Kluyveromyces lactis: one gene and its partners. The protein of the gene in region 3 interacts with the protein of the main gene of each other region in a biochemical or structural test. Links are inferred from orthologs where the notes say so. Each region holds a gene or a part of one and is shown on either strand. Other genes may lie near its edges.

Region 1 (1,894 bases), on a different chromosome or scaffold from region 3:
GAAACCATTAGCCAACAAACTAGTGAAACTAGTACAGGAACTTCCAGATGCTATGAGTAGGCGTACAAAGATCGGAAATGGAGAATTTGATGCAGAAGATGATAATGATAATGAGGGCCTCGATTTCTATGATGAAATTGACGACGACTTCAATGATTCTCCGTTAGATGATATCGATCCATTCTCAAAATTGCATGAATTCTTCGTATCACTACAGCAGTATAATCCCGAAAGGTATCATATTGTGATGCAATCAATGGACAGCGACTCTCAAGATGCATTGAAAACAATACTTGAGTTTGTAACTTCAAGCTTATGAACGCGTGCCTTAACCAATAATGATAGAAAATGATCCGATAAAATCTACAAACGGCAGAGTATAATCGTTCCAAATTCAGAATTGGACAGGTATACATATTCTATAAACGCACTTCAGTCAATCACATGAGGTATTTCATACATACTCCCGTCCTTGAAATGCAGAACGAATTTTCAAACTCTTTCATATAACAATAAATCGTACTATTACACAAGTATTTCTATAAACTTTTCTAGAGCAAGTCTGTCAAGTATAGAGGAGTGAGTTTTGAAGATAATGCAACACTTTGTTTGTTATGTTTTCAGAATTCTTCGGCCTTTACGCCAACTTCTGGATCGTTGCTTGAGGCGTCCGATACTGATGTCTGTTGTAACCTTGACCTAGATTGTCTGAATAATTCTTCCTGTTGTCGTAGTAATTCCTCCTCAGACAAACCGGATTTCTTGAATTTAGCATCCCGCCTCTCTCTAATCTTCTGGTTTTCTTTGTGTTGATGTAAAATCTCTTCTAATGGTGGAATAAATTCATCAAACTCCAAATCTTGTAAGGATTTGATCACGTGATCAGGCGCTATCGTCTTTTTCAACTCTTTATCTGCGATCTCGCTAGCAGAACCCGCTAGCATCATGATGAACTCTACCCCACATTCGATGATTATTTCACGAGCCTCCTTACTGAATGTTAGATCGGAATCAAGTACTTCAGATATGATTTTTTGAACGGTAGCCTTCGGTAATGTAACGTCGTCAACCTCTCCAACCATGTTTTCAATTGCTTATGGTTGAAATTCTAACGGTCTTTATTTTCTAAGATAAAGCTTGTGATTATTATTTTTTGGTTTTGCAAGCTTCCCTGAAAAAACTATAATACTCTCGAACTTAATTCTGTGCTGCAAGTCAATATACCAAACAAGCACTTCACGTAGTAATCAATTAGATAATTGGATGAACTTGAGATGATAACAGATTGTAAACAAATTTAACAATGTCAACTTTTGTTTTTAAATGCCTGGTATTACACTTTTTTGTCCTCCTTGAACTCTAGATCTGAATTATGTATAATAATATATACTAAAAAAATACTCATCGCTATTTCATTCACTATGCAAAAAAATGATATGGCTCGCCAAATTGGCACATTTTTTGATGCTTTATATATAAAACTACGAATCAAACTAAGAAGAAAAGTTGAAAATAAAAAAAAAAAAATTAAAACAACAACACACATCGCACACATCGCATCACCTATGCAAACAAGGGACAATAAGGGAATTCTGATTGGAAAATATATATATATAGATGTATATTCAAATTAGCAACAGGACAGAGACATATAAGTGTTGACCTTGGTTGTTAGGCAGGAGCTCTTTCCTTACTTGACGTAAATTCTTTATGTTGTGTTAATCACCCAGCTTCCTCTCATCACAGTAGAAATGCTAACTAGTGTTTGTTAGGAGATATGAAGTGTATAACTTGAAAGCAGGAAGGCAATGTTTGGAGGTTGTAAAATAAGATTGCAAAAGCTGAGTTAACGAACTCAGCTCAGTGGATGTATCCTGAAGAAAAGCCTTAAATT
Region 2 (3,625 bases), about 130 kb from region 3:
ATGAATTTGATACTTGTGAATAATGCATAATTCCAATCCCTGGGGAACAACAAAAGCCCTCCCGAACATGATATTTGAATGCCCTGGTTGGCAATAGACTGTACTGAATCTATAATTGGTACTCTAATGAAAAGGAGGAGACAAATTGGATTCACATATTTTAGAGCCGGCCATGTATCTGCGTATGATAGTCTGATAATTGATAATATAACATAGAGAAAGATAATAGATTGTTGTCTTGAGATGATACGGCTAACTGATCTGTTTGTCGAGACAAATTTAATAGCAACATTATTATTATGCTCTATTGTGGTGACAGTCATACTTGTCGTACCAAGTAAAAGCCAGTCAGAGGTTACTTCTCTTAATTAATCACTACCTTTAATCATGCAAAGGGTTTTTTGAATAAACTTTCGTGTTTTTCGTCTTGAATTTTAAGAAAATGACAACATGTTAGAGTCTGCACAACTCCATGAATATGAATTCAGGTTGAAAGAGTCCTTTCTTAAGACAGATCAAATATTTTAGAGATACATACTTAATATTATACTAAGTTTGAGCTTCAATAGCTGCTTCCTCAGCTCTCTTCTTTTTGAGGTCATCGATAGATCCAAGAACGATTTCCGATTTTCTGTATCCTTTGAGTTGATCGTACCTACCTCCATGTTTACCTTTTTGTGATCTTTCATGCTCTTTAACAGTTTGTTGCTTGATGTCTTGCTCTCTAGCATTTTGACGTTCTACTTCAATTTGCTTTAGATGCTCTTCATGTTCCACTTGTAGTTGATCTAAGCGCTTGTTGAACTCAGTAACCGTGCCGATATTTTTTCTTGTTTCTTTGCAATACTGTTCAAAGTTTGGCGGAAGCTTAGATCTCAATGCAAGTTCTATCATGACAGGATGCTTTTTTTCTTCGTTCACAAATTTTGATTTGATTTGCCGCCTTGACCTATAAGGAAACAGTTGAGATATTAGATTGAAATCTGTCCCCCACATTGATAACGCCTGATAAAACTTGATCATTTCTTCAATAGTCCATGGATCTGTAAACTGCTGACGACCGTACGTAGCAGAATTGTATAAATTTTCGAATGGATTGTTCTGAATTTTTTCTTTAGATGAATTTTCAAGAGACGCGTTCTTATGTCTGTCGACAACCATAGATTCCTCATCAACAACCATAGATCCATCTGCGGCCATCTTCAATTGAATACCTTGATGGGGTTTCTCATCTGGCACTTCCGTATCAAAAAGATCCTGGGCGGCTTTCTTTCTTTCCTCTTTCAATTGTTTTTCTTCTTCCGTTACTAGTTCATTCAAGGACTTGAACTCTTTTCTAGCCATTTCTCGTAGTTCCCTGCGTTTTCTTCTCCTTTCAATCTTTAGCTTGGCAGCTTCCTTAGCCCTGCTAAAATTCTCAGATATTTCACCTATGGGAAGCGTTGGTTTACATAGGTCCGCCATAGTAAAGTTTTCTTCGTCTATCAAGTATTTGGATGAATCTTTGTCCGCTATTTTCTTTGGAATCATCTTCAAATTGGTAATGGTGTATTTCTGATAAAGATCATCAGTTCTTTGGAAGATATCGTCGCAGTTTTCAGAGTCACCAGCTGGTTTTGCAGTTAATGAATCGTCGTCTGGACTACTCATCCGTGATACTATACTAATCCTTTGAACTTTACCCGGTCCTTTTCCGGTTGAGGATCTTGATGACATTCGTCTCCGCTTAATTGCTTGCAGTGAAGAATCATTCTCCGAATTAACTGTTAAACTCTTCTTTCTCAGTGACCCTGTGGATATACTGGAGAGCCTTCTGCTTCTTTCTGGTACATTTCCCGTATTCAAGGAACCAGGCCCCATGAAACCAGACTTGAAAGTAGGTTTAGTTCCAGAGAGCGAGTCTAGTCTACTAGACCTACGGCGGTTGGTAGCACTTGATACTGTGACAACCGGTATCTGAGTGCTGGTTCTTGATGGGTTCAAATTCTTGACTAAAGTTGTTTGACTTAGTGGATCGTCCTCGTCAACAGTTTCGTTAATTTTGGATTCTTCATCACTTCTTTTTGGCTCCGTATTATCTGTACTAGACTCATTCAGTCCGTCCTCGTTATCGGCTTCATTTTCATGGGAATCTTCAGCAGTAGACTTGGTTATGTCATCGGACACTGGTGGTACCACAGTTGGAGCCGGTGTGGAGTTCAGTATCCGTCTTTCTCTTAATTTAGGAACAAAGCGCTTGGCGCTTTTATTCACAACACTACTCATGGTTGTCAGCTGGGTAGTGTAGCTTCAAAGATTCTTTGTTGTATGTTAGCTACTACCTAATGAATAGTGCATTCATCAAAATATATAGCACTGTCGCCATATTAATGTTTACTATCATATTTATTACAAAATTCCATATTTTCGTCAATCAAACAAGGCACAGTGACATATATCCGGGTAATAAGTGTATATTTTAAATATGCGAAGGCATTAAATAGACTGTTCATGTAAAAGAAGATAATAGCATACACAATATTAATAAGGTTTATAACGGTGTTCTTTCTCCTTCTTGGATTTAGACTTGGATTTTTTATCACTCTTCCTATCTTTTTTCCCATGTTTATTCTTCTTGCTGTGCTTCTTCTCCTTCTTATCTTTCTTTTCTTTATGTTCATCATCACTACCAGTAGAAGTAGAATCCTGTTCAGATGTTGAGGATGATTCGTGCTGCATTGTTTCTTGTCCCATATCCATTTCAATTTCTCTGACAGAGTTTTCAAATGCTGTGAATGGTAGTGTATAATCCCAAAAGTTGTGTGGAACGTTTAAAGAGTTCGTAGTGTCCTTCCATACATTAACGTAACCATCTTCACCACAAGAGTATAGGAGGGAAGTTTGATTTTTTGGAATAAGCACATCTCTTATCACTTCATTTCCGTGTGCATCAGGTATTACCAGGGCACTAGAAACATCAACTTGTTCATTTTGGAATGGTATTATCTTGAGTTCACCTTGACTTTCATGAGTTTTTCCAGTTGCAATGAAAGATGGGTATATATCAATAACATAGTCACAACCCCACTTATCTCTTACGTCTCCAAATTCTAGTGGTTTAGGCTCTATCATTTCATCTGATTTATCGTTCAATTCGTGAATACCAAAAGTTTCCATATGCGACAAACTCCAAATCCTTTTCGGGCCAAGCCATCCACAAGAATGGATGGAAGCAAAGTTGATAACTTGATGTAGTGCATCCTCCTCATCGTCTTGAGTCAAATCATAGATGTTGACGTAACCATCAGTAGACCCACTCATCAGCAAGTTTGAGTCGCATGGATGGAATTTTATATCTGTAATGTCATCATGATGCGAGTCCACAAATGACCGCACAGGTTTAGTCCAGTTTCTTATATCATAAATATGCAATTCAGCATCGTAATCCTTTAGTTCTGTGCCACATGCTAACATATTGTGCCTTGAATCTAATGAGAAGAAGGGAGATGCTTTATCGTTTTGAAGAGACGCAACATTGTTTCGGGCTCTAATATCCCAAACTTTAACACCGTCCTCTGCTGCAGTAGCGAACACAGCACCAGTATCAAAATCGGAGTTTATAACTTTCATATCGTTGATGGAGGTT
Region 3 (2,725 bases):
TTTCTGAAGAGCTCTTACACTATCATAGTAAGTTGAAGGAGCGCGAGGAGAAATCGAAAGTCACTTCACAGATGCAATCAATTCCAATGGATATCGATAGATCCTTCTCACAAGCAATTTCCGAATCCAGTGACATCAAATCCTCAACATCTGCTTCTAACCATCAATCTTTCTCAATGATGAAGCAAGAATTTAAACGAATCTTAGCTGATACTCAGTTAAGATACGAAAAAGAACTAGAACAAGAACGCCTGTTGAGACAACAGTTGGAGAACAAGTTGGAAAATAAAGGATACCGCTAATCGTTTTATGTTGCCCTTAACGATCCAAAAATACTAGCATTAAACTTCAATATATTGTTGAAATGTAATTAACTTTGTAACATTATCTAAGACAGAATTCCTCATCCATTTCAAACTCAAGCTGGAAACCATTTACCGATGGCTATTAGTCGTTAAATTTGTGTATGAACTATATGATACATAGAGTAAGGTGCCAATAATAAAGACTTCTATTATAGCAGAATGGATATGAAAAGACAATAAGGAAGGAAAGATAGAAGGAACAAAGGGTTTTCTTGCAGAAGACGAGACAAAACCTCCGAGAATCGAATTAGTGCATTGTTTAATAAAATAAAAAAATGAATTTTTATAGTACCATCCAATAAAACATCATAGCTTCCTGAATTCACTCAACACAGGGTAGATAGCTTCAAACGCTTGATAGATTTCTTCTCTTTGTTTGGCACCAGTTAAGACAATCTTGCCGGAAACGAAAATTAGTAACACAATCTTAGGTTTCACCATTCTATAGATAAGACCAGGGAATAACTCTGGTTCGTATGAAGAGAAAGTACCGTGACTGAATGCTAAACCTTCTAAACGGATTGGGAACTTCACGTCACATGAGCCGACAATATTTTGGATCTTGAAATCAGTAAACTTGGCACTGAACCCAATCTTTTGAATAATTCTGGCATATTTTCTACTAGCCAACTTGGAATCATCCTCACTCTTAGCACCAGTAACAACCATCTTACCAGATGCGAAAATCAATGCAGTAGTCTTCGGTTCTCTGATACGCATAATCACAGCCGCAAAACGCTTTGGATTGTATTCTGCATTACGAGCGTGTAATGCTACCGTCTTTAGATCCAACCTACAGTCCAAATTCACAGTGGCCACAATATTCTGTAGGGTTGGTATGATTCCCGAAGTGGCAGAACCTTTATCTGCGTCTTCCGCATTAGCATCTGTTCCAGGTAAAGATTCATGTTCTTGTTTTTCTTGAGTTTCCCATACTGATCGTGTACTTGGATCAAATACTATCTTGTTTTCCTCTTGGAACTGTTTCATTCTATTTTCTTCTGACATCTTCTTCTAAGCTAAGCTGCGGTAGTAGAGTTTAACTTGATACGATATACTCGGAACAGTTGATAATAAACGAACGCTGAAAGATGGCTTCTTGAAGTATTTCACCAAACAATTGAAAGTCTTGAAAACCAAAGAAGAAAACTGTCTTCAAAAAAAATAGATCGTGTAGGAGTAGCAGATAGTATACAAGTATTGATATAACTTAAAGGGCTGCCTCAGAAATACACGACTTAAAACTGCAATCTTTGTGTGTTGACTGGTTTTTCCTACTTGTTCTACGATTTATATTTGGTTTCCTATGTTAAAAAGTTGTAAGCGGGAAAGAAATCTGATGAAGCTAGGTCACATGATCAATTTTCATTAGTATGATGATGAATCACCAGAGTAGACTTCTTTGACTTGTAAACAGTTCAATCATGTCATTTCCAAACCTGTTATTTGATGAAGTTATACCATGTCGATCTGAGTACATCGGTGGTTTACTTATTGTCTTCTTTTTGTCGTGGATCCTGGTTCCCTTATATATTTCAAAGTTTCATATAACCATTTTGCCCTAGAATAATACACGTCAATTAACGTGTCTCAAGAACAGCATATGCCCATGCTGAAAATAGCTTCCGATTGATGTATGATACACAATACTAGCTATGGACACCTTCAAAGATGAGCTGCTAAACGTTCCGATCTCTTTTGATCAAAAGTCCTTGAGCAGAAAAGCACAGCAGTTAGATTTGATATATCATCTCTCGAAACAGTACACTTTGACTGCACATGATGTTGTTACGGAAATTGAAACTGAATTGGAACTTCGTCAGTATTATACATTGATAAATCAGGCTATACGATGTCTGCGATATTTGAAGGATGGCGGTTTCCAGCTTTCATTAGAGCAAGATTTTCAGATCACTAACGATCTTGTTACGTTATTGATTGAAGAGACTCATCGCATTGATCTCGCAGAGCAATATTTTTCAGCACTCAGAGAGAGGTTGCAAAGTACAACATGGGTCAATGAGAAGATGTATGTGGATTACGTTCTTCTTTGTAAGATCCCGCTGTATAAAAATGATCCAAGTCATAATAAGATTGCACTACGAAATCTATCCAAGCTTATATCAAAGCTCGATACGTCTCTTTGGAAAGTGCTGTTTCAATATTTTAGATTGCAGTTGATTCCAGGCAATGAAAGGAAGTTGGCTGATTATAGAGATATTCTGTTCGTGATCAAAAACCATGAACAATTCCATTTCGTTGTGATGTGTTCGTTTATTAATTACTGTCTCGATGAAGGGATCAGCATACCAGCTGATATGTGGGTTTATTTTAGTGAAATGGACACAGCTCATGTCAAA

Evidence for each region.
Region 1: the proteins of SPT15 (region 3) and NCB2 form a complex in vitro, tested with the Saccharomyces cerevisiae proteins (2 studies listed by BioGRID). The link is inferred for Kluyveromyces lactis from reciprocal best matches to the Saccharomyces cerevisiae genes SPT15 and NCB2.
Region 2: the proteins of SPT15 (region 3) and BDP1 form a complex in vitro, tested with the Saccharomyces cerevisiae proteins (2 studies listed by BioGRID). The link is inferred for Kluyveromyces lactis from reciprocal best matches to the Saccharomyces cerevisiae genes SPT15 and BDP1.

What each region holds. Positions count from the first base shown.
Region 1 is NC_006039.1:578,136-580,029, forward strand, and holds NCB2 (negative cofactor 2 transcription regulator complex subunit NCB2), read right to left. Parts: upstream 1,083-1,894; coding exon 621-1,082; downstream 1-620. Other genes in the region: SXM1 (Sxm1p), read left to right, coding at 1-319. UniProt on the Saccharomyces cerevisiae protein: Component of the NC2 complex which represses RNA polymerase II transcription through binding to SPT15/TBP and thereby inhibiting the assembly of the preinitiation complex.
Region 2 is NC_006041.1:759,882-763,506, reverse strand, and holds BDP1 (transcription factor TFIIIB subunit BDP1), read right to left. Parts: upstream 2,266-3,625; coding exon 550-2,265; downstream 1-549. Other genes in the region: phosphatidylinositol N-acetylglucosaminyltransferase GPI15, read right to left, coding at 1-323; KLLA0_E08449g (uncharacterized protein), read right to left, coding at 2,521-3,625. UniProt on the Saccharomyces cerevisiae protein: General activator of RNA polymerase III transcription.
Region 3 is NC_006041.1:892,600-895,324, forward strand, and holds SPT15 (TATA-binding protein), read right to left. Parts: upstream 1,374-2,725; coding exon 672-1,373; downstream 1-671. Other genes in the region: PEA2 (Pea2p), read left to right, coding at 1-302; cohesin-loading factor complex subunit SCC4, read left to right, coding at 2,021-2,725. UniProt on the Saccharomyces cerevisiae protein: General transcription factor that functions at the core of the DNA-binding general transcription factor complex TFIID. Binding of TFIID to a promoter (with or without TATA element) is the initial step in preinitiation complex (PIC) formation.